Regions from separate parts of the Mus musculus genome. Here regions 1, 2, 3, 4, 5 and 6 are each reported to be linked to region 7. The links are microRNA targets in miRTarBase. Many come from high-throughput screens and were not tested one by one. Region 7 holds a microRNA gene; each other region holds the end of a gene's coding sequence.
What was found. Region 7 holds the annotated microRNA mmu-miR-136-5p (ACUCCAUUUGUUUUGAUGAUGG, at 1,885-1,906, shown strand). A microRNA usually pairs through its seed, bases 2 to 8, with sites in the 3' UTR of a target mRNA and lowers its output. Matches are read on the target gene's strand: a 7mer-m8 pairs with bases 2 to 8, a 7mer-A1 pairs with bases 2 to 7 and ends in A, and an 8mer does both.

Region 1: miRTarBase lists Oxr1 as a target of mmu-miR-136-5p. Seed matches in the 3' UTR shown: 7mer-m8 at 1,235-1,241.
Region 2: miRTarBase lists Acaa2 as a target of mmu-miR-136-5p. The part of its 3' UTR that is shown has no 7-base or 8-base seed match.
Region 3: miRTarBase lists Sh3rf3 as a target of mmu-miR-136-5p. Seed matches in the 3' UTR shown: 7mer-A1 at 728-734.
Region 4: the mRNA of Acadsb is a reported target of mmu-miR-136-5p. Seed matches in the 3' UTR shown: 8mer at 1,238-1,245.
Region 5: the mRNA of Kdm4c is a reported target of mmu-miR-136-5p. The part of its 3' UTR that is shown has no 7-base or 8-base seed match.
Region 6: miRTarBase lists Slc17a6 as a target of mmu-miR-136-5p. The part of its 3' UTR that is shown has no 7-base or 8-base seed match.

What each region holds. Positions count from the first base shown.
Region 1 is chr15:41,858,456-41,862,630 of GRCm38, forward strand. It overlaps Oxr1 (oxidation resistance 1), which reads left to right. Exons shown (of 17, transcript NM_001130166.1): 17 at 703-2,593. The coding sequence ends at 838. Among named protein-coding and RNA genes, the nearest start is that of Abra, 9.2 kb to the right of the region's middle.
Region 2 is chr18:74,805,198-74,809,372 of GRCm38, reverse strand. It overlaps Acaa2 (acetyl-Coenzyme A acyltransferase 2 (mitochondrial 3-oxoacyl-Coenzyme A thiolase)), which reads right to left. Exons shown (of 10, transcript NM_177470.3): 10 at 3,166-3,518. The coding sequence ends at 3,434. Among named protein-coding and RNA genes, the nearest start is that of Acaa2, 28 kb to the right of the region's middle.
Region 3 is chr10:59,135,469-59,139,643 of GRCm38, reverse strand. Sh3rf3 (SH3 domain containing ring finger 3) reads right to left here. Exons shown (of 10, transcript NM_172788.3): 10 at 728-3,824. The coding sequence ends at 3,656. Among named protein-coding and RNA genes, the nearest start is that of Gm23223, 58 kb to the left of the region's middle.
Region 4 is chr7:131,443,943-131,448,117 of GRCm38, forward strand. It overlaps Acadsb (acyl-Coenzyme A dehydrogenase, short/branched chain), which reads left to right. Exons shown (of 11, transcript NM_025826.4): 11 at 295-2,269. The coding sequence ends at 365. Among named protein-coding and RNA genes, the nearest start is that of Gm39099, 16 kb to the right of the region's middle.
Region 5 is chr4:74,404,118-74,408,292 of GRCm38, reverse strand. It overlaps Kdm4c (lysine (K)-specific demethylase 4C), which reads right to left. Exons shown (of 22, transcript NM_144787.2): 22 at 2,429-3,472. The coding sequence ends at 3,296. Among named protein-coding and RNA genes, the nearest start is that of Kdm4c, 150 kb to the right of the region's middle.
Region 6 is chr7:51,668,592-51,672,759 of GRCm38, forward strand. Slc17a6 (solute carrier family 17 (sodium-dependent inorganic phosphate cotransporter), member 6) reads left to right here. Exons shown (of 12, transcript NM_080853.3): 12 at 434-2,535. The coding sequence ends at 769. Among named protein-coding and RNA genes, the nearest start is that of Gm33136, 46 kb to the left of the region's middle.
Region 7 is chr12:109,593,447-109,597,621 of GRCm38, forward strand. It overlaps Mir136 (microRNA 136), which reads left to right and starts at 1,881; the gene lies at 1,881-1,942. It overlaps Rtl1 (retrotransposon Gaglike 1), which reads right to left. Exons shown (of 2, transcript NM_184109.2): 2 at 1-2,042. The coding sequence starts at 1,957. It overlaps Mir434 (microRNA 434), which reads left to right and starts at 1,060; the gene lies at 1,060-1,153. Mir432 (microRNA 432) reads left to right here and starts at 1,510; the gene lies at 1,510-1,584. It also overlaps Mir3071.

The DNA of each region.
Region 1 (4,175 bases), not on the chromosome of region 7:
ATCAGCAGTTAAGAGCGAGATGACCCTGAAGTCTATTCCACTGAGGTCCTTTAAGCCCGATCACACCTGGCTTCTGTCTTGCTCCTACTGCTTGATGAAGGATCCCAGGACCATGTCTCTTTATCTGTTTAAAGTCTTTTCCATGCTTTGCTACAAAAACAAAACAAACAAACAAACAAACAAAAAGCCAGTGTTGTTTTCTCACTGTTAAAGAAGTATCTGAGTGGACACTCTGGTTGCTTGTCCTGGTTCTGTTTTTAGCAGCAAGCTATTTCTTCCTAAGCATCTAGGGTAGATAACTCAGGGTTGTTGTCCTACCTTTATCATTAACCCTCATTTTAACACCTGTAAGAAAACCAAATTACAAAACCCTAAAACTGTACAACAAAGACAATGACTTGGGGGTCAGTGGTAGAGCACTGCCCTAAGAGAAGGAAAATAATATAATTGTAAAGAAATACTTATACCAAGTGCCAAAAAGTAATTATAATATGAAATAAGTTTTAGTGTTCTTAATTTGAGTAATAAATGATTTTATAATGGAAAGAAAAACAAAAATCTTGTGCCAGTCCCACAAAGAAAAGGAATAGGGGAAGGTTTAGAGAAGTTTATGGCCTGGAGCTAGTGGACATTGAAAAACCCACTTAGTTACTTTACAGTTAAGGCATGAATGTTGATCATTGTTGTTTTGATGTATTTCAGAGGGGAATTTGCTCTTTGGCTTGATGGAGATCTCTACCATGGAAGAAGCCATTCCTGTAAAACGTTTGGGAATCATACACTTTCTAAGAAGGAAGATTTCTTTATCCAAGACATTGAAATCTGGGCTTTTGAATAAACACAGTGCTCTTGGTTGTAGCAGGACATCGGCCCAAACCTGAATGGACAAACGCATCGTTTGGAATGTTCAAGAAGCAATACAATTAATATGTCACTCGTGCTTTAAAGTCAGTCTGTTTGGCCATTTACTGCAACTATAATTTTGGAGTTTATTTTTCCAATCCTGTTTCTGTCCCAGAGTTCTTTTGTTTACACCATGGCCTGGGATCCAGTAGTGGGATCCAGTAGTGTAACAGCGGGTGGAATTTGTCAGCACAGTGCAGCATTTGGATCATAGAGGCCGCCACCTTTTCAGTTCACGTCATCTCAGTCCTAACTGGATGGTGCTCTGTTCAACTTGTTTTTAATCTGTATTGATTCTTTTTATAGAGCAGTGTACTCGGGGCATTGAGGAAATGGAGCCTAGATACTTTTGTATCTGGTGGAGTTGGCACAGGTGACATTTGGGCCTACTTACATTTAGTTCTAAATAAGAAACCACATGCCAAAATAATACATGCTTCATAGACCTCTTCTAGTTCTAATTCACTACAGCATTCTCTTTATTCATTTTGTAAACATTCTCTATTTCATTTTAAGAATGAAATTGGAGGGGCAGTCTGATTGGCATAGACCACAGCGCACACAGTCTGCAGGTTTGGGCGCATGTTTTCATCACTGAATAGAGGAGAATTGACAGAGGAGAATGGGAATTCAATGATTCTATTGGATTTAATATATTAAGCAAGTAATACTATTTACATATTTGTAGCTTAATAGGGCATTATCATAAGTACAAAACTAAAACGTGCATATTTCTTCAACATTGTGTCAGATACACTGTTTTACAGTTCTCTTGTTCAGCCTTGTTGCATACCAACTACCCCAAGACATTTTTGTTTTGTTTTGTTTTGTTTCTTCTCAAAAGGAAAAAAAATTGTTTTGAAATAAAAACGTGTTTTTTTCTAAGTGGTATATGTTATTAGTTACCATTAGCATCTGCTCTTATAAAAGGGCAGTGACTGTAGTAGACAATACTGTAATTCAGTAGACTTGGTGAATGTGCAAGCTTACTGTCAAGTGGCCTCAAAAACGAAAAGGTAGAATAAACTAGCAATTGTATTCTTTCTTGTAGGAAACCAACAATAAGCCATGTGGCAACAATTCGTCAGTTAAATTTCAGAGCTTCATGTTATGCAAAAAAATAAATCCTGCTGTTATACGTGACAGTGACATTGTGCTGAAAATTCAGCTGTTCCACACAAATGTTGTATATCTTGTAAATTGATGTCTAAAGATAGTTTTGTTCTTATAGAAAGTGTTGACTGCCAGGTTGCTTATAGCACTTTAAATTATTCTGAAGATGAAATTACCAGCCAAGTATGTTGGCTTAAGTAGTTTTAGTTATATAACTCTTAAAAATACCTAGTTCTTTTGGGAACAGTTTAGATAATTATCTAAAGAAAACATACTATTAATCAGAATCTCTGGTGTTGTATGACACGCTGTTGCTAAAGATGAATAGAAACGGCATCGTTTCCTCGTCTGTGTAAAGCTCTCATTACAAGTTAGGTAATAGTGTCTAGGTTAGAGGTTTATAATATAATATAAGGAACTGTAAATAAATGTACCCTTCCTATTAGTCTTCCACAGCAGTATTATTGTCTTTGTGGAGGTGACTAAATCACAAAACTTTAAACATCCTGTAATGGATTCCAACTACAAAAAGGACATAGAGATGTATACCAAATAAAATTAAATGCATAAATGCAAATGAGTTTGGATTTTTTCAATGACCAAGTCATTTCCATATCTAAGAACTGGTAATAAGCCTACTACAACCTCCTGACATGTGCCCTGCAACAGGAAGTAAGAGATTTGAATTCAGTTAGAGGAAGCTCTGCTGATGAAACATGTCCCAGCAGAAATTGCAAGGGTTTGATGAGTTTGAGCTGCTGGGGGAGGGTAAAGAGTACATAACAGACATCCCAGGATCCTGAAGAGCCCCATGTCCAGCACCAAGCAGTTTCTCATTGTTTAATCTCATGGAGCATTTGAGAATATTGGAGTAGAGGAATAACATGGACAGAAGCCTCAATAAGAAAAAAATTAAAGAAAGAATAAAAAATGAAAAGAAGTATAGATATCAGCATTTAAAGATAGCTATGAACAAAATACAGTGTGTGTGTGTGTGTGTGTGTGTGTGTGTGTGTGTGTGTGTGTGTGTAATTTGTATATGTGTGTATATATGTTTATATGAAATGCCCAGAATATGGGTAATCTCTCGGACAGCCTTAGGGTTTTGACTTAAGAACTCACATGTGTTGTTATCATCTTGCCAGTGTACCAAGAGGAGAAACTGAGCGTGTAGATAATGACTGTTCACACCCTACTCCCTAGCATGGTATGAGGAAAACATTTAATGTTCTGCTTCAAAATACTAAGGCTTTAAATGAATAAGATAATATTCCTGTGGATGCAGTGCCCCTAGAGATTTTAGACCTGATTTAAAATAGGGTTCTTGAGATAGATCCTTTTACTTTTTCATCATATAATATTGACCAGCATACGAAAAGGCTCTGAGCTTCCCTCTCAAGTTAAAAGAAAAAGAAATTGTACCTAAAGCAGGTGTGACAAAAAATACATATAAAATAGCAGAAGTCAATACAATTTTAAAAGGATGAAAAACATAATCTGAGAATAATCAGTTTTTACTTGTTAGAAAAAATTAACAAAAAACAAAAATAACTAATAAAATGACTACAGGTTTCATTAACAGATGGCAAGAGGATATTTGTGAATATCTTTGTATTAATAAACTTGTTTGTGTGTGAAATAGAGAAATGTTTTGGAAACCATTTAAGGCTGGTAAAAGACGAGATAGGTAGGTAGATAGGTAGGGAGAGAGAGAGAGGGAGAGGGAGAGAGAGAGAGAGAGATACCCACCCTAACAAACAAACTAAAACCATACAAACCATTCCAGGCCCAAGTAGTAATTCTTGGTATTTAAATAAAAACTAACAGTAGGCTTAGGTAGGAAGTTTCTTCTTGAGACCAGAGTGTTCAAACCTTACAAGTTTTGAACTAGTAAGGGAGGTGGTGAGGCAGAACAATCGCTCCATGAACAAGGAAAAGTTATAGAAGTAACTGGCAATTCTCAGGAGACTTCAAATAACCAATAATAGCCATTTCAAAGAGAATGTGAGCTTGGAAACTTAGCGATATCAACTAAAGCCAAGCATGCACTTATCCTTTGACCAGCAAACTTAATTCCTTCCTATGTGCCCAATGGCAGCGAGATGCCACCTATTTATAAGCTCCTAAAAGCTAGTATAGTCTGGTAAGATGTTTGCCCT
Region 2 (4,175 bases), not on the chromosome of region 7:
GAGACTAGGAGGTCAATACAAACTCCTAACAGCTGGAAGGTCACAAGGAGAGACAGTGACAGGGACAGAGAGCCAGCCTGCGATCTAAGGATAAGTAGGCCTATGGGTTGGTGGGCCAGAAGATATAGCAATCTAGACTGAGCAACTAGACACCAAGACCCAGAGCTTAAAGTCATGTGGAAGGTGGGCAGCCAAAAGGTAGGACTGAAGCACAGGGAGCCAGAGGACAAAGATATGGAGTAAGAGAGAAGTAGGGGCCAGAGCATCTTGGGGACCGAGAGTCTCCAAGTGTGGATCTCCAAGGTCTAGATTTTATCCCATGTGTGGCAGAAAGCTGCTTCAGGGTTTAAGCTGTGTGTGTATGTGTCCTACTATGTACAGTTAAAAGATGACTGTGACAGTTTGGATATGCTCAGTCCAGAGAGTAGCAAGCACTATTAGGTGTGACCCTGTTGGAGTAGGTTGGCCTTGATGGAGTAGGTATGTCACTGTGGGTGTGGGCTTTAAGACCCTCATCCTAGCTGCCTGGAAGCCAGTATTCTGCTAGCAGCCTTCAGATAAAGATGTAGTACTCTCAGTTCCTCTTGTACCATGCCTGCCTGGATGCTACCATGTTCCTGCCTTGATGATAATGGACTGAACCTCTGAACCTGTAAGCCAGCCCCAATTAAATGTTGTCCTTATAGGAGATGCCTTGGTCAGGATGTGAAAGAAAATAAAACTTGAGACCTGTGGTTCATGTAATTTATGTCAAATAGCCCAAAGAGTTGTTAGCTTTGAAACCTGGGGCTGAGAACATAGCAGAACAGGCCAAGACATGCCTGGGCAGGCCCGTCGTTATAAGACATTCTTGAGGCTGCTAGGCCATGAAGATAAAGAGAATGACTTGTCCGGACTGGCCTGGCACCTCCCTATCTCCCGCCCTTCTGACCTAAGTTAAATGTTATCTGCATGTACAGTCTGCTGATGTTTAAATGGACCAATCATGTGAAACCATGCCAATTCCTCCCTACTGATTTTTAAATGAACCAATCATGTGAAACTGCACCAATTCCTCCCCCATCCCCAGCTCCTTTTCCATAAAAACCCCTAGCTTCCAAGCCTCATAGTCGAATCCACTGTCTCCTGCGTGAGATACGTTTTGACCCAGAGCTCCGCCATTAAACTACCTCATGTTTTTACATCAAGACGGTCTGTTTGTTCGTGATGCTTGGGTGCACGGCCGAATCGGGAACAGAGTGGGGGTTTCCCCACTAGGTTCTTTCAGATGTCTGTTCACAGTAGTAAAACCCTAATTAACACAGAAGTTGGTACCAGGGACTGGGGTATTGCTGTGATAGGCCTGACCATGCTTTCGTTTGGAAGAATGTGGATTTTGAGACTTTGGATTTGGAAAGCAATGGAAAGCTTTACGTGGGGCTTAATGGGCTACCCTAGTAGGAATATGGAAGACTTTGTTACTGAGAGTGATTTGAATTGTGTGGACCAGGCCCAAGAGGCTTTAGTGGAGAAGAATTTCAGTATGTGGCCTAGAGACTGTTTTTGTGGTATTTTGGTGAAGAATGTGGCTACTTTTGCCCTTGCCTGAAGAGGCCGCCTGAGGCTAAGGTAAAGAGATTTAGATTAATTGCTTTGACATAGGAAGTCTCAGGAACACCCATCATAGACATTGACCTTGGTGGCTTGTTGGAGAATGAGTGAAAGCAGACAAAAATGGAGGTAGGAGCTCTTGGGAAAGGTAGATGCTACTTATTCTTCTCTTGGTGTGACAGAACATCATTACCAAGGCAACCAATTAAAAAACATTTACTTTTGGGGGGGGGGGCTCATGGTTCTAGTTTTAGAGTTCATGGCCATCATGGTGGGGTACATGGCAGCAGGCAAAACCAGCTGAGAGCTTACGTCTGATCCACAGCACAGGGCAGCAAGAGTAACTGGAAATGGGCTTTCGACACCTCAGTCTACCCCAGTGACACATCTCCTCCAAAAAGCCCATATCTCCCAATCCTTTCCAAACACTACTACCATCTAGGGATCAAGTATTCAAAACATATAAGCCTACCGGGCCGTTCTCGTTCAATCCAGCACAGTAGTCCAGGCAAGGGGCTCTTGAGGTCGACAGTCTTGAGATATGCCCTCAGAAGACTTGACAACATTTACTGCTGTGTGGGGGAGAGAGTGGGGTCCAAGGGATTACCGGGTTTTTGGAACTAAGAGGACCTCAAAGGAGGCACATAAGTGGGGTCTAAAAACAGCTACTGAAGCCGAGCGTGGTGGTGCACGCCTTTAATCCCAGCACTTGGGAGGCAGAGTTTGAAGCCAGCCTGGTCTACAAAGTGAGTTCCAGGATAGCCAGGGCTACACAGAGAAACCCTGTCCTGAAAAACCAAACCAAACCAAACCAAAAACCCCAGCTACTGAGCAAGGCAAGCTTAAGATGTCTATGAGGAAGGTCAAGGGGGCAGTTCCATGGAGGCCCTGGAGCAAGGGAGAGATTGGTACTGGGTTGTAACTAATAACAGTGCCTCACTCAACATCTGTGAAGTTGGTGATGGCTAGATAAGACATGTGCAAAGGAATATTTACCACTAAAAATGTATAGAATTCTGACATATGCTACAACAAGGGTAGATCCTGAAGGTGTTACACTAACTGAAATACTCAGTCATGAAAGGTCAGTGGGTTCGCTCACATGAGCTTCCCAGAGCAGGGAAGCATGCAGAGACAGAGAATAGAATGGTGGTTGCTCAGACTGTGAGAGGGGAATGGAGAATCATTTCTTAAAATGAGAAGGGGGGGGGGGAGGGGCTGGAGAGGCGTCCCGTGGTTAATGAAGTCACTGCACATCGAGAGGTCCAGAGCACCCACAAAGGACAGCTCACAACTGGGTATAACTTCAGCTCTGGGAGATCTAATGCCCTCTTCTGGTCTTTGAGGGTATCTACAACACACATGCCCATACCCAGGGACACATGGCACATAAAAATGACACATTTTAAGAATAGAAACAGTTTCAGCGGTACAAGATGAAAGATCCTGACAGTAGGCAGTGTCGCTATTGGCACAGTCCTGTCAGTGTCCTCAATGGTACTGAACTGCACGCTTACAACCCGGTACAATGAGACACTTTATGTAATTAAAAAAACCAACAAGAAAAGGTTAGCTGGAGTTAAGGCAACATTTATTCAGTTTGTATTACTCCATGGAAGGCATACAGTGGTGACTACTGACAGATACCATTTCTCTTAAGGCCTCCGATGGTTGGTGTTTTTATTCTAACACGTCAGACAGGTATGAAGTAGACAGAACCCAATGCATCTTGCCTCATCAAGGCTTGGTCACATACAATCACTGTCTCAGCAGGGCTGACTCGAAGGTCTCCTGTGTTCCGTGGCCTGGCCCAGTAAGTGTGGGCAGTGTGCTTGTGATGCCTTCAGGCTGTGTTCTGGATGATCAAGGCGATGCCTTGGCCACCTCCAATGCAAGCTGATCCCACTGCGTACTTTCCACCTCGACGCCTAAGAAAGGATAGAAAAGTCGCTACTGGGGCCAATAAAATGGCTCAGCAGGTAAAGGAACTTTCCACCAAGCCTGAAGACTTAAATTCAATCCCTAGAACCCACGTGGTGGAAGAAGAGAAGCATTCTCCTGCAAGCTGTCCTCTGACTTCCACACACATGCTGGGTGGCATGTGCAATTATATGTGTGTGTGTGTATTATATATATACATATATATATATATGTATATATATATATATACACACACATATATATGTGTGTGTATGTGTGTATATATATATATATACACACATATGTATGTGTGTGTGTATGTGTATATATATATATATATATATACATATATATATATGTGTGTGTGTGTGTATATATATATATATATATATAATTGTAACAAAAGCCACCATATAAAAAGAATTAGATTAGTTAAACAGTATTAACATTCATTCTTACTAGCTCATCTTCCAAGTCCCTTCCCCAATCCTTAATTTTGGTTTCCGGCGACAACAGATGAAAGAACTCAGAAAGCAGAATATTCCTACTGGAAAATGAGAAAATCTCAATCTCTCCCTCCCTTCCCGCCCCCCCCCTCTCTCTCACGGGAGACAGGGCACTGGGGACAGAGGACAGGAAACACGCACATGTGCAGAGGAAAAGCA
Region 3 (4,175 bases), not on the chromosome of region 7:
CTGACTCCTTGCCATGATGGCATCTATAGCTGCTGCTTCTTATCCAACTAGTGGCCGTCCAACGTGTGCTGGGTATAGATCATGGTCAACTTCACTGCTGGCCACAAGTTCTTAGGATCCCTGTGCCCAGTCCTGATAGACACTGAGTCTGTGTCCCCCTGAAGGAGCAGAAGGTGACAAGCGTGAGTGTTGGGGCTGGCTTGGGCTTGCAGGCAGTGCCCTTATGATAGCTTGAATGAGAACACCACCCCGCTTTCTGCTCATATATTTGAACATTTGGTTCCCAGTTGGTGGACTGTTTAGGAGGATGAATTTGTGTGGCCTTGTTGGTGAAGATTTATCATTGGGGATGGGCTCTGAGGTGTCATAAGCCATGCCAGGTCCAGTCTCCCTCGCTCTCTGCCTGCAACTGAGCTCTCAGCTTCTGCTCCAGTCCCATGCCTGCCTGCCTGCCTGCCTGCCTGCCTGCCTGCCTGCCTGCCTGCCTGCCTGCCTGCCTGCCTGCCTGCCTGCCGCCACGCTTCCTACCATAATGATTGGGGATTACCACTCTGAAGCTTTAAGCAAGCTCCCAAGCGTCTCTTGGTCATGGTGTCTCTTCACAGCCATAGACCAGCAACTAAACCAACACCCTCAGTTCAGTGCCCCCCCCCCAGGGCCTGAATCCCAACCTCTCAGGCTCACGCCTACCCCACCTGCATTGGTCCCGTTATTGAGACACACAGCCTCTCCATGTTCATCTTTATTTAAAGACTCAGAAACACAGGCATCAGAGATGGCCACTACTGTCAATTCATCTAAAATCACACACTGACATTGGTGTATAATAAAAACATATGTGGGGTTGGGAGCACACGTGTGCACGTGTCTTTCTGTCTGTCTGTCTCGGTGTGTGTTGTGCAAAGTACAAGGGCTTCCACATCTACTGGGCTGATTTTGGGGTGCTCCGCCTTGTATTTACGCCTCACTATGGACCATCTTGTCTCTCGAGATCCATCAGTCCTCTGGAGGCTAGACTGTCCTGTCTCCTTGCTGACCGTCTATCTGAAGGGCTGAGAACTAAGGAGTGAAACCCACGTGGCCACCAAATACAAGTGTATGAGTAAGGGGCACATGCTGCTGGCCAGGACGGAATGTGAAGGTTCTAGATGAGGTGCTGGCTTCATTTTGGTGCCACAGACGTGTGTCCTCAAGGGAAGATGACCTTAGGAAAGGTACCTCTTTTCTGTCATTGGCTGTGGAAAACATGATTTTTGAAGGCTCAAGGGCTTGGGAGTGTTCAGAATACTCAGACCATGGGGTTCATTGTGTGTCTCAAAAGCCCCACCTGAGAATGAGCCCCAGGGCCCTGCTTCCCTCCCCATGCTGGTCGCAGTGTAAACTTTGCTAGGAGAGGATTCAGCTGATGTTTTCCACGGTACCTTGATGCTTTCCTCTGCTTTCTGTGAGGCTGCTACTTCCTCTATCACGAGGCAGCCAGTGCAAGAAAGGAAGACAGTTCCAAGTGAAGTCTGTTCTGTTGACTCAGAGTTGACCTTGTTTAGAAGGGAAAGGGACTTGCTTCATTGTCTGGGATCTGGAGTTAGCTCTGGTTCCACTGAAAACATGCCTCACCCAGGATGTAGATCTGTGTTACCTCCATGGTGGCAGCACGGAACCATACCTAGATCTTTTGTGCATGGATGGGCAAGTCATTTAGCAGTGACACTGAGTAGATATCATGTGGTTGTCACCGAGCCTGCATACAGGGGTCCCTATGTCTGAGATAGAGCGTCTCTTTGGCTCACAACAGTTTTCTATGTCCAATAAGGGTGCTATCACCTGGGGGAGGGTGAGACCGTCTGGGTGTGATTACATCCATGTGGTAGCCACCCGGCAGTCACAACTAGTTAGTCATATCCCCAGACAGAAACGTTGAGCATAAGTGCTCTTTATTTTATTATGAAAATCAGTGATAGCCTCTGCTACCAAAGACTTGATACAGGGCTGCATGATTTTATAAAAATGTACCCAGAGGCTCACAAATTGCTATTTTTTTTGAGAAATTTTTGAAAAAAAAAAAGTGTTCTTAGAGTGTGACACTCACACCTCCTGATAGCCATCAGGCTAGCCTCCTGGGCAGCAAGCTGTTGTGACAGTGAATATACGTAAGGCCTCAGAGTCAGAGACCAGCCCTCATTCCTTTCCAGCGTCTGCAGGCCCTGTAAGTCTATAGACAAGCATCAGGCTTGTGTTATCACTGTACCTTTGGTCTCTAGCAGATGAGTTTTGCCTGGCCTCAGAGGGCAAGCTATTTATTTTTGAAAAGGAAAAAAAAATCCTTTGCAAGAGAGTGGATCTGAGCTGTTGTAAAAGCTGCATTTTGGTAGAAAGACGTGCTTTCAGAATGCTATTTTTAGTCATTCTCTTTAAAGCAATCAAAGGAAGCTTCTGGGGTCAGTGTGTGTCTGTGTGTGTGTCTGTGTGTCTGTGTGTGTGTATGTGTGAGTGTGTGTGTGTTGTCTATGTATGTGTGTGTGTCTGTGTGTGTGTGTGTGTCTGTGTGAGTGTGTGTGTTGTCTGTGTATATGTGTGTGTGTCTGTCTGTCTGTGTGTGTATATATGTGTATGTGTCTGTCTGTCTGTCTATGTGCATTTTCTGCCACACACAAAGGCAGAACCCACTCCTTCATTTGTTTCCAGTTTTTTAGTCATAGCAATCACTCTCATCTAGATGGAGCTTGTGGGTTAGCTATTTCCAGCCGTTTGGGAAGACGCTCCGACTCCATGCACCCTCTCCACAGACCCTCCCTCTCGCTGCATGGAGCACCAGCCAGCATTGTGATATTACAGATAGGAATTCCTCAATATGCTCCAAACTTCATCTGGGAAATATAGAAAACTTTCCTTTGATGTTACTTCTTTTTTTCCCCCCTTGACACTTACCCAGGTTGGTTTTACAAAAAATCAGCACCAGATGTATGAAAAATATGCAGCGTCTGACCTATTAGAAATATATAAAGTCTAAGAGTTGTACATTAAAAAGGTGTGCCGTAAGAAGGAAGCAGTGTGAAGACAGCGGCGGAGGAACTGGACGGTGCACCTCATTATCCCAGTAGGAGACAAAGACAAGAGGGTTCTGCTCCAGTGCCCCACAGGACCCCACTGGACACCTTGGGAGGCTCACAGCCCTTCTATGAGGCTCCTGAACCATGAATGCCCTGGCGGTGAGGCCTGGTGGTAGGTGACAGAGGTATATAGAGGAATGGTACCCAGGGCAGGCAGGGAAGATGCTCTTCTTGCTGTCAGCCCTAGCACATGGCCCAACTCTATACCCTCCCGGGCTCCCAACCTTACACAATAACGCTTTAGCCGCTGGGTGACAGAGCAGCGCCTTTGTCCATGTGGGTAACATTTTCTGTGCTACTGCTCACTCAGACTCATGGCGTGGTCTTGCAGGACACTCACATGTGCTTCCAGTAGGATGTCACATGAGGATATGGCCTATCTTCACAAACACGCCATGGCCCATGTGTGCTTCCAATAAGGACTTCACGTGAATCATCGGCTTGTTTCTGGCCGGTGCTTTAGAAAGAACCTCGCTCGGACTTTGGTGATAAGGCGGGCATCCTCTGCTCTCTCCAGGACAACAGAAGCTAGCCATGAGCAGTGGTCCTCAGAAGCTCTCCACAAAGCTGCCTGGGAAGAGACCTGTGCGGCCATTCCGCTGCAGTGTCCCCTTGAACCAGCCGTCTTCATGCTTCTTGTGCACGAAGACGATATCACCTTCCTTTAGCTCGATCTCCGCTTCACTCTGTGGAGGGTAGGAGACCACCACACGGTACCTGGGAGGGCAGAAGAAACTGTGTGAGCAGAGGGGTGGGCTTTCCCTCTAATCCCCCGTAGCCCACAGTGAGCTCCCTATCCCCTCCGCCCCTCCAGTAAGTTCTTACAGTGTGCCATTACATTTTATGGTCTGTAAAATTATTTGTAAAATTTCCCAAAGCTCTTTACCTTGTCATCTAACCTCCCTTTGAACAGTTGTTGGTCATGGAGGTATTCAGGGGCCTAGAATAATATAGGCCACTGCCACTGTCACTGTCTGGCATCAGAGCCAGGCCATGGAACTGTAGCTCTAAAGACATCACAGGCTCCAATTGTGGAACATAGGGAAACCAAACTGAAGTAGGTAAGGA
Region 4 (4,175 bases), not on the chromosome of region 7:
CACCAGCAGCGAGGAGAGCAAACGGCAGGCAGCCCTGAAAGCTGCTGGGTCCGTAGAAGCAGCTGGGCTTGCACACTGATGCTCAAAGAGCCAAGTCCTCGTCTGTTCAAAGCTGGTGTTAGTGGGCTGCAGATCAAATGGGAAACTGTTACCCTGTCAGAATCACTTTAGAAACTGAATCCTGTTACTGAGAGCAAGTGCAGGGGTGCTTGGTGTCTTCCATACTCATCTCTGTGCGGTTCTCTTCAGCTGTGGGCACACTCCTAATTGTCCCATTTCTCCCTGTTGTTTAAGGTACAATATATGAAGGAGCTTCCAACATCCAGCTGAACACCATCGCCAAGCACATCGATGCAGAGTACTGATGACTGTGGGATGGGCCCTCTGCGTCACTGACAAACCATTTCCAGCTGCTGTGCCTTATTGAGCAGGGTCTAGAGCAGTGCAGGGCTTCCTTGGACTTCCCTTGTCCTGGTCTCAGGCCTGGATTTTGTTCCTGTCTCTTTCCAATCTACTCTAAGTCTATTTCTAAGCTTCTGAACGCATATTTCTCATCCTAGTTGCAGAGTATACAAAAGTTTCACTCTAGCAGCATTTGGGAAGAAGAAACCATTTGAGGTATTGGTATTGCTGACAGAAATAGTCACTTTATATTCCTACTAAATCTTTGTACTGTGGTATGAGCCAGAGGAGCGTTTGTTACACTTGGCAATTTTTATTCAATACTTTATAGATTCAGTGGTAAGTGGCTAAACAAGGTAGAAGCTGATAAAATTTATTTGGAAAAATCTAGAATCTTAGTTCTAAATATCAAAAATAGTAGAAAATAAAAAGTGTAGCTTGTAGGCCATATAATTGACAATAACAAAAAGTCCCAAATGTTATTTTAACCAACAAAAGGAGTATGTTTGGCTGCTATAATTGAACTATATGAAAGATGTATTATGTGGTGGCTTTTAGCAGCCCATTTAAAAAACATGTCCCTGTATTAGTTTTCAACTATAAAGTTTAAGTAATTTGGCCTAATCATCTGAAAATAATTTATTAGATCATGCACTATTTTTTGGTAGTATGATTTATTTCTGTATTTTAATTGAGTATTTTCCCTCAAACTTGGTTATTGGACTTTATCCTAAATAGTAATTAATTGAGAAATTCAATTTTGGTTTTCAAAATTGATTCTTAAGAGAAATATACCCCCATAAGAAAATAATATCACAATCTCATAAGGATAGGGAATGGAGACTTGGTAGTCTGAAAACATACATTCAGTATAAATATATGTAGTCATTTATATAGTATATTAGATAATTTTATATTTGTGAAGACAAAGATCTATGTTTTACAATGTAAATGAAAAACAGGCAAAGCCTAATCAGATATCCAGCTGGTGAAGCCATTGATCAGTGTTAGGGATTTACAGTCGGGAGAAGACGCTCTAGTTGCAGACCCTGAGTCCCCTGGAGAGAGAAGTAGACAGTAGACAAACGAGTCGCACATTTCCAGAGGAAACATCACAAGTTAGATGTGAAAAATGCCCGAGGCTCACGCAGTTGCTGGAAATAATCGTTACTTCTAGATAGAAAGTATTTTGGTGCTTTTGCAAAAGGATAATGTTTATTAAGAAACTTGACATTTTCTAGGTAATTTTGCTTTGCACAGTTAATGTTTATTGAGCTAAATTAATTTCCACAATGCAAATCATAGTTAAATATGCAAGGTTGTATAAATACAGTTGAAATAGGAATTACATTAAAACAGTAGGAAGAAATAAAACAAATTTAGACCTTGAATCCAAAGAGATAAGGTCTACTTGACTTTCAAATGGGGGAAATGATGAAAGGCCTCACCCAGTCTCAGAACAGACAGATGAGTGTGATAAGAAAGGAAGGGGTGGATGCAGACCCTGACAGGGCAGACACCTTCCACTCCTGTAATAATGGGAAAGAGCAGGGCTTAGAGATGATGCAGCCGCGGGAGTCAGGATGAGTAAACAGCCTGCCCTCCTTTCCTAGACTCATGGCAATCCTCCTGCTTCATGTGTAACCTGGGCTGGCCGCAGATTCATGGCAATCCTGCTTTCAGGCTTCCAGTGCTGAGATTTTATGTCTGCACCCCAGCTCCCATTTCTGACTTGTTGATTTTGAAGTCATGCCCACGATTACAGCTTTGTCAATTATTCTCATTTATTTCTATTTGTTTTGCTCTATGTAGTTCCCAGTTATGTTTTTAGGGGTAATAAAGTTCATGGCTGTTGGATCATCTTGGAGAATTCTCCCTTTTTATGAGATATTCTTTAAAATTAGTTTTGTCTTTATTTCAGTTTTGTTAAATATACAGTTATTCCTATTTTTGTTTTTATAGCATTTGCAGTCTTTTCCCATAACTCCAACTTTCTTGCTTTAAATATTTTCAACTTCATGTAGCTAGGATTTAAACTTTCCTTTTACCTCATCCTTAGTCATCAGGACAGAAGGAAAGAAACTTCCCCCAAGTCTCTAGACCAAGAACGAGGTGCCTGCTTTAAATTGAGTGAGTGAGCTATGACTTGGGCCAAATCCAGTGTACCTTCTATCCACACTGCCTATTTTTGTCACAGCCTATAACAGGTTTCTGTGCTATAAATGGGTAGTAAAATGCATGACATAGCTTCAAATAAGAACAGGTTTCTGTTTAAGCAGTATGTAAATAACACAATGTCTTTGACGTTGACTTTTGCTACAAAGCCTAAAATATTTACCTTTTGGCCCTTTAAGGAAAAGGTGTCCATTCAATGACTACCTCTGTGTCAGATTTCTCTTAAGGGGTTAATCTGTCAAACCATCAGGGCAGAATACCAAAATACAAATTGACAATGAGCTATACTCACTCTTGATTTTATTTGTAATTCTACTCGCTCCCTCCCTCCCTCTACAAACACATTCTTATCCTCATCCTGAAAAACTGAATTTCCTGCTGGGTGGTGGTGGCTCACACCTTTAATCCCATTACTTGGGAGACAGAGGAAGGCAGATCTCTGTGAGTTCAAGGCCAACCTGGTCTACAGAATGAGTTCTCTGACAGCTAAGGCTACTCAGAGAAATCTATTGTCTCAAGATAAGAAAACAAACAAACAAAAAACTGAAATTTCCCAGCTTGTTGTGGTGGCACAGGGTCGTAATCTTAGCAGTCAGGAGACTAAGACAGGAATATTATAAATTTGAATCCAACTGACCTCAACCCCATTTCACAAAACTTTCTAAATTCCTGTGAGCCACTGCTGTGCAGGTCTGGAAATGGACTGTGGCTGCCTTATCTCCAGTAGCCCCTCATCCATCCTTATATCCTCTCTCTCAATCCCTGTTTGTCGGCTTTCACTTTTGTGGCTGAGTTTCAATGCCTAAGTCCTCCTTGTTACCCTGAATTGGTACTCTGCTCTATCTATCCCAACTGTGATTTCAGATGGCCTTCCTGGAAGCCTTGCTCTGCCGGAGGCCTCTTCTCCTTGACTGGCTTCTTCTCCCTTCAGTGACCACTTCCATCCTGATGCTGCCCATGTATCCCACTTTTCTTTCCAACTGGCTGCACTATCCTCTAGAGCAGTGAGGATATCCCTTCCCCCTTCTCCCTGCTCACCAGCCCACCCACTCCTGCTTCCTGGCCCTGGAATCCCACCAGCAGTAGAGGGGTGTTTCTCTTCCACCTCCTTGCCAACATCTGCTGTCACCTGAGTTTTTGATCTTAGCCATTCTGACTGGTGTGAGGTGGAATCTCAGAGTTGTTTTGATTCGCATTTCCCTGATAACTAAGGATGTTAAACATTATTTTAGGTTCTTCTCAGCCATTTGGTATTCCTCAGTTGAGAATTCTTTGTTTAGCTCTGTACCCCATTTTTTAATAGGGTTATTTGGTTTTCTGGAGTCCAACTTCTTGAGCTCTTTGTATATATTGGATATTAGCCCTCTATCAGATTTAGATCTTTGGAAAAGATCTTTCCCCAGTCTGTTGGTTGCCGTTTTGTCTTGACAGTGCCCTTTGCCTTACAGAAGCTTAGTCATTCTGCAGAGAGCCCAGCAGGCTTTGGAAATTTGAGTTGAAGTGCCAGAGAATTGAGGCAGAAAACCTCACATGAAGCCTTTAGTAAGGGTGGGATGATCTAGAATGCTTTTCAAAAGGCTCATTTCTAGAGCCAAGAG
Region 5 (4,175 bases), not on the chromosome of region 7:
AGGATTACTGGTGACCTTTGAATTAACGGGGCTGATTTATATCCGAGATGGAGGCTGTTTCATATTAGACCCCTATTCCTAAAAGTGTAAGTAGCACTTGCATCCCACCTGCTTTCTCCTACATGATTTTGTACTATTCTATAACTAGTGGAAATTAATAACATAATCTGAGAAGTCAAGTGGTATTTCAGCAGATGTTTGCACTCAATTTCTTTCTAGATGAATTAAAAACAAAAATTCAACTGACAATGATCACAATGTCTTCATTTCAAGCACACAAAGAATTAAATATTGTGAAATATGCCAACCAGTTTTACTAAGCTCTTAACCTGCAGAGAAATGGCTGGCAATTAGTATTACATTAGAATTGTCACAGCTAAGCAATTTATAAATCAGTAGGAGGACTTTAACTGATTTTCTGCTACACGAACACACCGAACATGCAGTTAGCGTAAATACACAGGAATTAAAATTACAATTGAAGTGTCAGACAGTAAGTGAAAAGTTTTAATGTTCTGTCTAGTGAGAGAGCTAATAGCTAGTTTATGAAGAACACAGTGAACAAAAGTCTATCTGTGGCCAGGACTTTGCAAAGGCAATATATTTGGTTGTTCTTGGTTATAGAACATTATTTAAGTGAGACTAAAAGGGAAAATTATATTTGAGATCATACACGAATCTGTACATTTTCCTGCTGTGACAGTCAATCTGAAATTTTGCTGTCAGGAAAACTTGTGCACAACAAATGTTTCTAATTAGATTAACTCTTTCCCAATATCTTACACTACTGTGAAAAAGAGTTCACTTCCATTTAAAACCTAAAAGACAGAAAATTCAAGGCTGATAGCCTTCTAAAATAAACCCATTATGGCAGCAGAAAAGGTTTAGTGTCAATCCCTGTGAGATTAGGTTGGTGGGCTTGCTCTAGCTTTGAGGTCATCCCATGAGTCACTCCAGAAAATGAGCACTGTTTTAATTGAGGCTGTCACTGCTGGTTTGGTACTTCACTCTGTCCCCGGTAACAGCAGATACTGCACCCTTTGCCATGAAATGGTTGAAATGCCCAATCAATCCATGATTTGGGGTGACTCCTCACCTAGGATCTGGGAGATTCCGTGGAGGCTCCTCACATGGGAACTGAAATGAACTCCATCTGGGCCTACTTGCTCCATTGTCTATTTTTATTTTGAGACTACATCCAGGCTAGCTAATTGAGAGGGATAGGAAGCAGTTGGGAGTTAAGCCAAGTCCATCACAGGTCACCCAATTTCAAGACCTATCAGCAAACTGAATGTTCCCTTTGTCGCAGGTGAATAGAAATGTATACTCTTTTGTTCTGTATGCTTTGGGGTCATCCTTTCCTTTCCTGTCTTTCATTCATTTGTAAAATGAATGTATGTAACTGAGACTACTAAGGTTCACTCCACACTGAAGGGACTCAGATAATTAAAGGTCTAGAAGTTGGGGCAACACCTCAGCTAGTGCTGGAGATAGGTGGATACTTTCTTCTCAGTAATACTGTCATGAAGGTACTTAGCTATAAAACGAGGGCCTGAAAAGCCTGGGCCACAAAATGTGTTCAGAGTTCCCCAATAACACTTGTTTTTTTCTGCTTTGGAATTTTGGAGACTAAGTTTTCCCCATACACTAGACTTGAATGATCCTGTCTCAGCCTGTTGTGTGAGAGATGCAACACACACACACATGCAGGGACCATATACACCTTTTCATTCCAGAAAGGGAAATCCACAATAGACCAGTGCATACAACTTGGCTAACCAATGAGTTTTAATGAGGTTGTTAAGAGGAGTATGGGTAAGGGTTAAAAGAGGGATGAATCAAAAATTGCAACCCTGAAACTCTGTACATCTCAGGTAGTCCTGTGATACACTGTTAGCAATTTTTCTAGATTCTGTCCAACAGTTACCTAGCAACAGTCAGGTAGGAGCCTAACTTGCAATCAAAGGACTGTTTGTTCCCTCTCCCTCCTCTCTATACCTTTCCATGTGTTCCTACTGGTCTCTTCCCTTCTTTCTCTCTCTTTTCTTTCTGTCCCTCTGTCCGCTTTCCCTCAGTCCCTTCTCACCCCACTTCTCATACCTCCAAGTAAACTTCATTTATAGTAGACCCATGGTCCTATGGCTGGTACATCAGGAACGGTGGGGGGTGCTTCAGCATGGACCTGCTGAGGCACCCCCTTCCCACCGCATCATGCCACTGCATTACAAAATGTATCATGTTCTCCTTTGTATCTTGGTTGGTCAAAGTCTACTTGCCAAGCTAGTAAGGGGTTTTTGAACACCTTCCCAGTTTCTGTTTTTGCAGTCATGTAAAAGCAGACTTCTGTTCACCTCTGAAGTTTCATGAGCAACCCCCTCCTTCAAATAAGGGGTGTTTTAATTTAGAGAAAATTGACAGACAGAAGACGGGACAGGAGAAAACAGATTTTAATTTTTAAATATTAATACATCTCCAGGCTGTTTTGCAAAGAAAAATCATGTTACATTAGTTTAAAACTATGCATTAAGTATATTTCTTTAAACTCTAATTTTTACAAACACATAATGAAAGAAATATATATTTTATAAATATCATTTCAGAACAGGAATTATGAAGTGTTCAAAATATCAGGCCAAGATTTTTCCTCTGTAAATATATAAAATTCCCATATACTTCATATGAATTCCTCTTCAAGAGCAAAAAATTTCCTCTTATAAAGGCCAACTCAGTTTTCAGACACAATCAAAAGTAATAATATAAAAAATGGAAAAGTTCTGTACAAGGGAAGATAGCATACAGGTAAATCCTATTACCATACATGCCATTTGTGTTTTAAAAATGTTTTATAAAAACTGCCACTGAAAACAAATGTGAGTGAGACTCTTTCCCTGGCTGTGGAAAATATATATAAATACACCCACCGGCTGTTGGGTGATGAGGCTGCCACTGAAGGAGGTGGGAAAGGAGCCTCCAAATGTGTTCCCTGAGGAAGGGACCTGAGCCAGAGAGGGAACCCCGCTTCTTTAGCAGTTGTTTTATCTAGTGGGCCATTCACTGCTGTTTCCTTTAATTTAGGAATATTCTTTGGGGTCAAACAAATGACTGAGGGGTGATCAGATTACAGAAGCAACTAATATGTCTCTTCTTGGTTGCTTGGTAATCAAACTCCAGAAGCCTGGTTTATTACCAATACCAAAGAAGCACCCAGCCACCTGTCCCAATGTGTACCCCAAGGCTGTCCCTTTGTCTTCCCTCTTCTGGTCTGAGCTGCACTGTGGCTGCTGCACATTATCAACTACTGTCTCTTCTGACACTTCTTCTGGAAAGAACTCTTCAGGAAAGTACGATACACAGGGTCATCCACATACTCATTCTTGAGCCTGGAGCTTAGCACTCTTTGCCTCTTCCTCTCCCCTTGGATTACATCTGCTCCATAAAATGTGTCTTCAAATCGCATGTCGGAGGCTGTGGACTAAACGCAGAAATACATTATTGAGTGTATAAATGAGAAATATATTACTGAAACACTACATACAGATCTAGGGAACAGAGGCTAGGATCTATCACAGGGTCGAAGGAACCTACCACAGTGTCTTACAGTGTCTTCATCATCAGGTAGGTCTCACCTATACCACATGGCAGAGATATGTGGCTCTATTTGGTCCCAATTTCTTTATCCTGCCTGAGGAAGCTTCCCCAAACAAAAGCAAAATTAAAGTCTTCTCATATTGAGTCTGCTGTAAATGAAAACTCCTAAAAAGAAGCTATGTCTATAGAAATTGATTGACTAATTAGATTTTGAGAAAGTATTGTGGTGAGATTAAAATGATCCAGGTCTAATAGCTCATCACTAGCTCTAGCCCCTCAGAAGAGCCACCCATGCTTTCCTATTTCTGTGTTGCAAGTTAACATCTTGTGACTTACAGATAAAAAACTTTTTGGAGCCCATTAACTTAGCAGATCACTAGTTCCCTCCAGCCCCAAAGCTAACAATGTCATCAGACAGAATCTTGGGCCTATAGCAAACCTTCCCCCTTCTTGCTATAGCAACCTCTCTGATGTACCCACTAATGTATTTTAAACTCGCTGAGGTATTTAGATTTTTTTTTTTTGGTCCTACAAAACTATAACACTTCATGAAGCAGCTTCCATGTTGGAATATGAAATTTTAGTTG
Region 6 (4,168 bases), not on the chromosome of region 7:
AAATCTCAGTTCAAGACCAGCAGCTCAGTTACTTAGCTACCGCATGCAATCAAAAAAGAGGCAAGAAAAAAAGAGAGAGAGAGACAGACAGAGAGACAGAGAGAGAGAGAGAGAGAGAGAGAGAGAGAGAGAGAGAGAGAGAGGCAAGTCTAGAGAATAATTAATAAAAAGGGGAAATTCTTAAACTCTGCAGCCTATAGGTGTATTTGAAATGTTATTTTCAAAACTTTATCTTAAAATAGAAAATAATAAAGCAAATAGTTTTATTTCGAAGCTGTTCACATGACATGGCTAATCCCAAAGATAGCACTTAGTGCAAAGCACGCTAGCAGAGTGCTCGCCTGCTCGCTTACTCCATCGCTCGCCCGCTCGCTCGCAGGGTGGCTTTTCGGTTTGGGGATTTGCTCTCACACCTTTGCTTTTCTCACCACAGTCCCGTGAAGAATGGCAGTATGTCTTCCTCATTGCTGCACTCGTCCACTATGGTGGAGTCATATTTTATGCACTATTTGCCTCAGGAGAGAAACAACCTTGGGCAGACCCTGAGGAAACAAGCGAAGAAAAATGTGGCTTCATTCACGAAGATGAACTGGATGAAGAAACGGGGGACATCACTCAGAATTACATAAATTACGGTACCACCAAATCTTACGGTGCTACCTCACAGGAGAATGGAGGCTGGCCTAACGGCTGGGAGAAAAAGGAAGAATTTGTGCAAGAAGGTGCGCAAGACGCGTACACCTATAAGGACCGAGATGATTATTCATAACGATGCTAGTTGCTGGATTCATTTGTAGTGTTTGTGAATCAATTAATTGTGATTGCACAAAAATAATTTTAAAAATGTGGTGTGAACATGTAAACATATCAACCAAGCAAGTCTTGCTGTTCAAAAACAAAAACAAAAAAATCTGAATTCAAAACAGACCATGAGATTCCCATCAAGTGCAATCTGTGGCAGTTGTCACGTTATGCCGTCTTCATTCAGGCCATTTGTCCTTTCGTTTGTGATTTAAAGGTTTCCTGTAGAAATAAGTAGGTATTCGTTGGACCCATCACCATTTTAGAGAGCACAACTACAACAGTTGGCACATGTCATCCTACAGAAGTTAGGAAGCCAAAGCTACTGGATCATGCAAACTGCACTTATTTATTACACTGGACTGCAAACTATCCCAGGGAAAGCCTGTCTAGAGACATAGTGGAACAGGAAAGATGGCTAGATCAGGTATTGACTATAATCATTATGTGTCTATCATGGAGTGGCTATATCTTTCAATGAAGAACTATATTGTGTAGCTAGCAAACTGTACTGAACTCTTACTAGGAGTGCACAGTGTGTGATATTTTGTGATCTTCCAAAAGCTTATCTTGCAGTGTTTTGTGAAATGCTTGGGCACAAACACTTATTTTTATGAATGAGAGCTTGTAAAGGGAGGGGTATGCTCCATGCTCCCCCATTCACTACCTGACAGTATCAAACCCTTCACATTTCAATAAAATCCAACTTTCATGTAACATATCACATAACTTTTTTTTTTTGCAAAAAAATAAGAAGAAATAGACTTCAATGTATTTTTTATTACAACTTTGTACTGGTTGTAACTTGCATTAGGAAAAAATGATTAATATATGTATAATCATAAAGAATCTAATAAAAATTTACTATGATGATATAGCCCTTAAAATGCAATATTAACAAAATAAATAGAAAATTTAGATAATCTTCCTTGATAACTAGAGACTATATGAAACTCATGCCACAAAGCTATATATAATATGAAGAGATAAACAATAGAGATTCTATATGTAGACAATTTTATTACCTAATGTCCCACATAAGAGATATTTGTCTTGAGTATATAGTACAAAATATATTAAAATTATATCTACATCCCTGTATATCTTATACATATCCACTCACACGAACATAACAAATACTTTTCACACAGAACCAAAAACAAGCATACACCTAATGTTGGGTTTGGGGATTGCAATTTCTACTTTCATAGAGTCATAGAATTTTAGATGGAAAAAAAAAAGCATTTTGCTCGTCATTTCTTAATATAATTCAACAGGAACTGCAACATTTGTGTACCAAGCAATAAGTGCAAAGCATAAAACCTCCTGTGTGTAAATTATCCCCATGTTGCTTGTGGTAGCAGTGATTTCTTTCTTTTAAAAAAGTTAACCTCAGAGCTCTTTCTAATGTTTTGCGCTGATAAGAATGCACATCCCAATTTACTGCAAAATGTCACCTGGTGTGTTTACCTGTCAGTTTTGGGTATTTGATCTGTCTGGTGTCCTGTGCTCTTGACTGGAGGCCCTGCTACTGCAAATATACAATGTGAAGTTTGTTTCTAAATGCAAACCACTCCTGACCTTAAGAAACTGAAGTCCCTCTCTGCTTTGTGTCTCAGAGTACTATCATGTGACCATAACCTTTGCTGTGCTGAGTAAAGAGATGTGAACTGTCATTTTGTTGCTGCAAAACAAGTGTTAATAAAATGTTCTATTTACCCTTTTGTAAAATCAGTACATTATTTCCGGTGTGGTTTGGCTTGTCGCTTTAACATTAGGTAGCTTACGCATGTTCCAGTGGTGCCAAATATAGGCTCAGCAGTAACAGACTTGCTAGTTAGTGCCTTGGGATTTAATCCTCTTCTTTAGATGGGAGACCTGATTCTGTAGGCAGAGTTTAAGCTCAGAAGTGAGACTATGGGTCAAACTCTATCTTTCAATAGCTGTGTCATCAAAGCTGCTGCGAAATTTAAAGCAAAGTTTGGAAATAAGTTTCAACTTGTCAGTTCAACACTGCCAAAGTACTTTCATTGGCCACAGAGCCTGGGCTAGGTACTGCCAGTCACTTTTAGTGACTGTCCCTGATGTTATGTAAACCCACAGTGGCTCTCTAAAGCCCGGTATCCATATATTCCCAGTTTAGAAACAACAAACCAAGAGAAGCTTGAAAAGTCTAATTCTGCAAAAAAATAAAATATAGCTACGATGTTAAATGTGTTAGGCAAACTATTCAACAGTGAGGAAGACATCTGATGGAATATGTGTATCACCTGAAACACAGCCAGAGCTCAGAGTCTGTATTTTAGAGACGTGAAAATATAAGCTTGTGCGATGGCTCATAATCTATATGGAACCTAGCGAGAGTCAGGAGCTGGAGAGATAGCTCAGTGCCTAAGTACATCATGCTTTGCCACAGGACCACAGTGCTGTTCTGGGCACTTACATTGGGTGGCTCACAATCACCTGCAATTCAAGCTCCATCCAGGAGAAGTGGCAACCTCTTCTGGAATCTGTAGGCACTTCTCTCACATGTTAGGTGTGCTTGCCCATACAAACACACACACACACACACACACACACACACACACACACACACACAGAGAGAGAGAGATAAAATCTTAGTTAAATATTTAGAATCTGTGTGTGAAGTGACCATAAAATCAGATCCCTGATACCGTACTGCTCAAAGGACTTGTGTGATGTGTTAGTTGACACTGCTGTTTAATAGCTGAGAACACTGGAGATCTGCAGGGAGGATCAGACTTGGTCAAAGTAACACAGCTATTGCTATAATAGTTTGGTTTATAATTTGTTTTAGTTTTGAAACAAATTATAATTAGGTGAGCTATGATTATTTTTAGCCCGATTTTCTTTAAACAAGTTAATTAAATAGGTATTTGTCAGTTCAAATACCTGAAAAACCACCATCTCTAGTTACAAGTGAAGAAATATAGATTCCCCTTCCACATCATCATCACCATCACCATCACCATCATCATTATCATCTGCCTGAAGAGACAGACACCAGACCCAGCCTAATGCTTAAGGTAGCTCACATGCTGTCACTTTATACCTCAAAGAAAGCTAGCACCATACACTCACTCAATTACACTACATAAATTTTGCATTTTCTCTAATTATATTGTTTCAGTGCTGTCTCCAGCTAAGTGGCACCAATGTCCCCTTCATTTCTCTCATCTTGGTCAGACAGTCTCTGGCTTCTCTTCTCCTTCTTGTCACCACGATGTACATCTGCTACTTTTCATTTCTGACCTACTTTCCATATCTTCTCTTGTTTTAGTCTCATATTTATTTCTAAAACTGAAAGGCTTTTGTTGTTGTGGTGGTGGTTGTGGTTGTGGTTGTG
Region 7 (4,175 bases):
CATTGGGCAGCCAGCTGCTTACCCTCCACTTCTCTGGGGCGGGAGCATCCATCCAGGCTACGCTTCTTGGGCGCGACTCAGGTGGCAGCCTGAGTAATGCTCTTCTCTCTGCCAGCTTTTCTTCAAGTTGCAGGACAAGTACAATCAGGTTGTCTAGGGAATTCGGCTGAGGGATCCGGAACAGATAGTGCCTGATCTCTTCGTTGAGCCCCTGGCACAGGTGGGCCTGCAGGACTTCATCTGGCCAGCCTAAGGTGGGTATCAGACCCCGGAACTCATTGATGTAATCGGCCGCACAGCGGTTCCCCTGCCTGATGTTGAACATGGCGTCTTCCGCCACACGCAGGGTCTGCCGATACTCAAACTTTTCTGACATGGCCTCCAGGAAGGCTGAGAAGTTGTTTATCACTGGGCTGTTCTGCTCTACGAGGTCGTTGGCCCATTCCAAGGCTAGGTCAGTCAGGTGGCGGATGACGAATTTCACCCGCAGCTCATCATTGTATAGCATACTTGGGTAGTTCTGCATTGTCATCTGGCAGAGCACGACAAACTCATGGTAGTCTCTGCGATCTCCAGAGAAGGGCCTGAGGGAGGGCAGGCGACCTTCGTTGATAGCCTGCATCATGAGCCTTTCTGCCACTCTCTGTTGTTCTTTTAGGTCTTGCATCCGGAGGAACAGCGAGATGACGTTCCCCATGGTGGCCACGACTTCTTCTGGAGAGTTCTTGGGCTGACCTTCCTCTTCACCACCTTCCTCTTCCTCCTCTTCCTCGTCATCTCCCAGGTCAGTATCATCTTGGTCTGACTGGGTCTCGGATGAGTTGATTGTTTCATCCATGCTATAATCGGATGCCTCACTGAGTGGTTCCGACCCTTCCTGGTTTGAAATATCACTTGACTGGTTTGAACTGTCGCTTGACTCCTGGTTCGAATTATCGCTTAACTCCTGGTTTGAATTATCACTTAACTCCGGGTTTGAATCATAGCTTGACTCCTTTTGTGAACCATCGCTGGACTCCTGGTTTGAACCACCGCTTGACTCCAGGTTGGAAACATCGCTCGACTCTGGGTTTGAACCAAAGCTCGACTCATGGTTTGAACCATTACTTAATTCGTGGTTTGAACCATCACTCGACTCCTGGTTCGAACCATCATCACTTGATTCCTCCATGTCTTGGGGTAGATCGTTAGATGATGCCTCACAGGGGTCGCTGGATGGCTCCTCCACTTCCCGGAGTAGATCAGTGGGTAGCTCTTGCATTTCCTGGTAGGGGCCACTGGATGGCTCCTCCACTTCCCGGAGTAGATCAGTGGGTAGCTCTTGCATTTCCTGGTAGGGGCCACTGGATGGCTCCTCCACTTCCCGGAGTAGATCAGTGGGTAGCTCTTGCATTTCCTGGTAGGGGCCACTGGATGGCTCCTCCACTTCCCGGAGTAGATCAGTGGGTAGCTCTTGCATTTCCTGGTAGGGGCCACTGGATGGCTCCTCCACTTCCCGGAGTAGATCAGTGGGTAGCTCTTGCATTTCCTGGTGGGGGCCACTGGATGGCTCCTCCACTTCTTGGAGTAGATCAGTGGGCAGCTCTTGCATTTCCTGGTGGGGGCCACTGGATGGCTCCTCCACTTCTTGGAGTAGATTAGTGGGCAGCTCTTGCATTTCCTTGAGGGGGCCACTGGGTGGCTCCTTTTCTTCCTGGGCTGGGCCACTATCTGAGCCCGCCTGGGCCTCAACCTGGGCCTCAACCTGGGCTTCAGCCTGAGCCTCCGCCTGGGCCTCCACCTGGGTCTCCGCCTGGGCCTCCGCCTGGGCCCCTGCCTGGGCCCCCGCCTGGGCTCCACTGCTGCCTGGTGTCTCTTCAACGGTGTTGGATGAGCCCTCGGAGGACTCCATTTGTTTTGATGATGGATTCTTAAGCTCCATCATCGTCTCAAATGAGTCTTCAGAGGGTTCTATCATGTCGTCGGTTGGAAAGGAGTGTGCTCTGAAGACTGGTAAGATTGTGATGTGTGTGGTCAGAGACCGCAACTGTGGAGACCAAAACCTAGGGACAGAGGGATAAAAGACAGGAGAAAATGTAGCAATTTAGGTTCTCAAGATGGCAGGGTCAGATTCTATCTCAAGGACAAAGCAGATGCCAAGTTACTAGAATCAGAGAGAAAATGGAGAAATTCCTCCTGCATTCAGTTCAGCCTCCTTTTCTGGTTACTTGGGGCACCTCCAGGGGAAAGACCGTCACCCCCTGACCTGCCTTCCAGGCGGAGTCTGACTACCCCACCTGCCTACTTCCTCTAGTGGAATGAGAAATTCACAGCCCATAAATTTTGTGGAGCAACTGGCCTGGAGCGTCCTCTGTGGCGAGCTAGCACCTGGCAGGGCACACTTCTGGCCCGCTTTGCCCTGGCCAGGTTCCCTTCCCATTTGTAGTCACCCAAAAGTCATAAAGGTCACATCTCAATGCCACTCAAAGCGGCTGCTGGCAGGCTTGGTGGTCTAGAGCCAGCCCAGTGAGCTTGGTTGGAGGCGGGAATCTGCAGGGAGATGCCTGCTATTTCACAAACTGGGGAAAGAGGAGAAATTGGGCACTTGGCCACTATCCTGCCAGTTGGGTCAACAGCCAAAAATAGCTCTTATTTCCTCCTCTAGGCTCCAAGCCGAAATAAGTGAGAGAGAGCCATGGCTTTTGGTTTTAATTTTGCTCCCCATAAATGTTTATAAAATGCCTACTATGTGCTGAAAACATGCACTTTCATGGCTTCATCCTAGGTCACACTTTGTGCATATGCAGGATAAGAGGGGGGTGGGGGAGGGATAGTATCATTTCTCTTGTTCGGTTTGATCTCTGTCCAAAGCCACGTTTTCTCCAGCTCTGAGCTGAGTCGGAGCTTTCTAAACACCCTTTCCCGGGCTTTCAAAAAAACTGTTCTCCCAGGATTGCCTGGTCTGCAGGGCTCCTGCAGCTTTAAACATCTGGCCTCAATTCTGCTCATGCAAACATTTCTGCACGTCTCACAAATGCTATCTTTCCAAGTTTCTCCTCTGCTTCGGCAGGAGCAGGGTTTTCGTTCTCAAAAGTGCCCCCCCCCCCTTTTCTGTCACTGTTGATTTCGTCTGGTACAGGGGTATATCTAACAGAGGTATGAAGTTGGGTGAAAGGGGGGGCATGGGACCTTTGAAATCTGATTGTTCCGTAATTTTTGAAAATCTAGCCATGGAGGGTTTAGTGCACGGAAATTGAATTTAAAGGGATGTATTGGTTTGCAAAACAAATTAAGCTAGTTATTCAATAGCTCAGCCATATAGCTATTGTCTTTATGAATTCTGCACCTTCTGTTACTTCTCAATTTTCTTTTTTAAGGTCACTGGGCTGACCTATCCAAAAACAGAAACACACACACATACACACACAAAACCAAATAAACAGAAATCTCCCATGTTGTCATTCATGTAAAACTCCCGTTGGCCATCCTCCAAACCTTGCAGCAGGATGCTTTTGGGTCTGCAGTTTCTCAGAATTAGACATCTCCTTGTTAGCATGACACTTAAATTCGATCATGCAACCCCTCTGATTAAAGCCTCTCACTGTTTATTTACTGTCGGCAATATTAAATCCAAACCTTTTATATAAACATGTCTGACATGTAAACTTACCAAAAAAAAAAAAAAAAAAAAAAAAAAACTCCTGGCTGAAATTGAAAGGCCTTAGCATAATGTCCACGTTGGGCTTCTCATTCCTAGAACTGGAGATCACAGGTCCTGAGCCTGCTGTACAGACCATCAGCTCAGAAACATGCACAGCATATTACATAAATCAACTTATTTCCTCTTTCAGGAAAAGTCGTCTATTATTAAAATATAAAATTTGACTAATTCATCCCCAAGTTCATCTGCGGGACATAAAAATCTCAGCAGGTCTCCACCTAAAAATTGCTCATGGTTTCAATTTTTAAATTTGCAGCAATCCGATTTTAAAGCTAAATGATACCCGTTCTAAATAAAATGCCTATACTTAAAATATTACAGACAAATTTGATCATGTAAGGGATTAGATATTTCTGCTTTCCAGCCCTCAACCAAAAATCTCTTGTCCTAAAAATTTTAATATGCCTGGATATCAGAATAAACCTTTAGTTGAGATAAACAATTTTCATCTTATGATTTTCCTATTTAACGCACA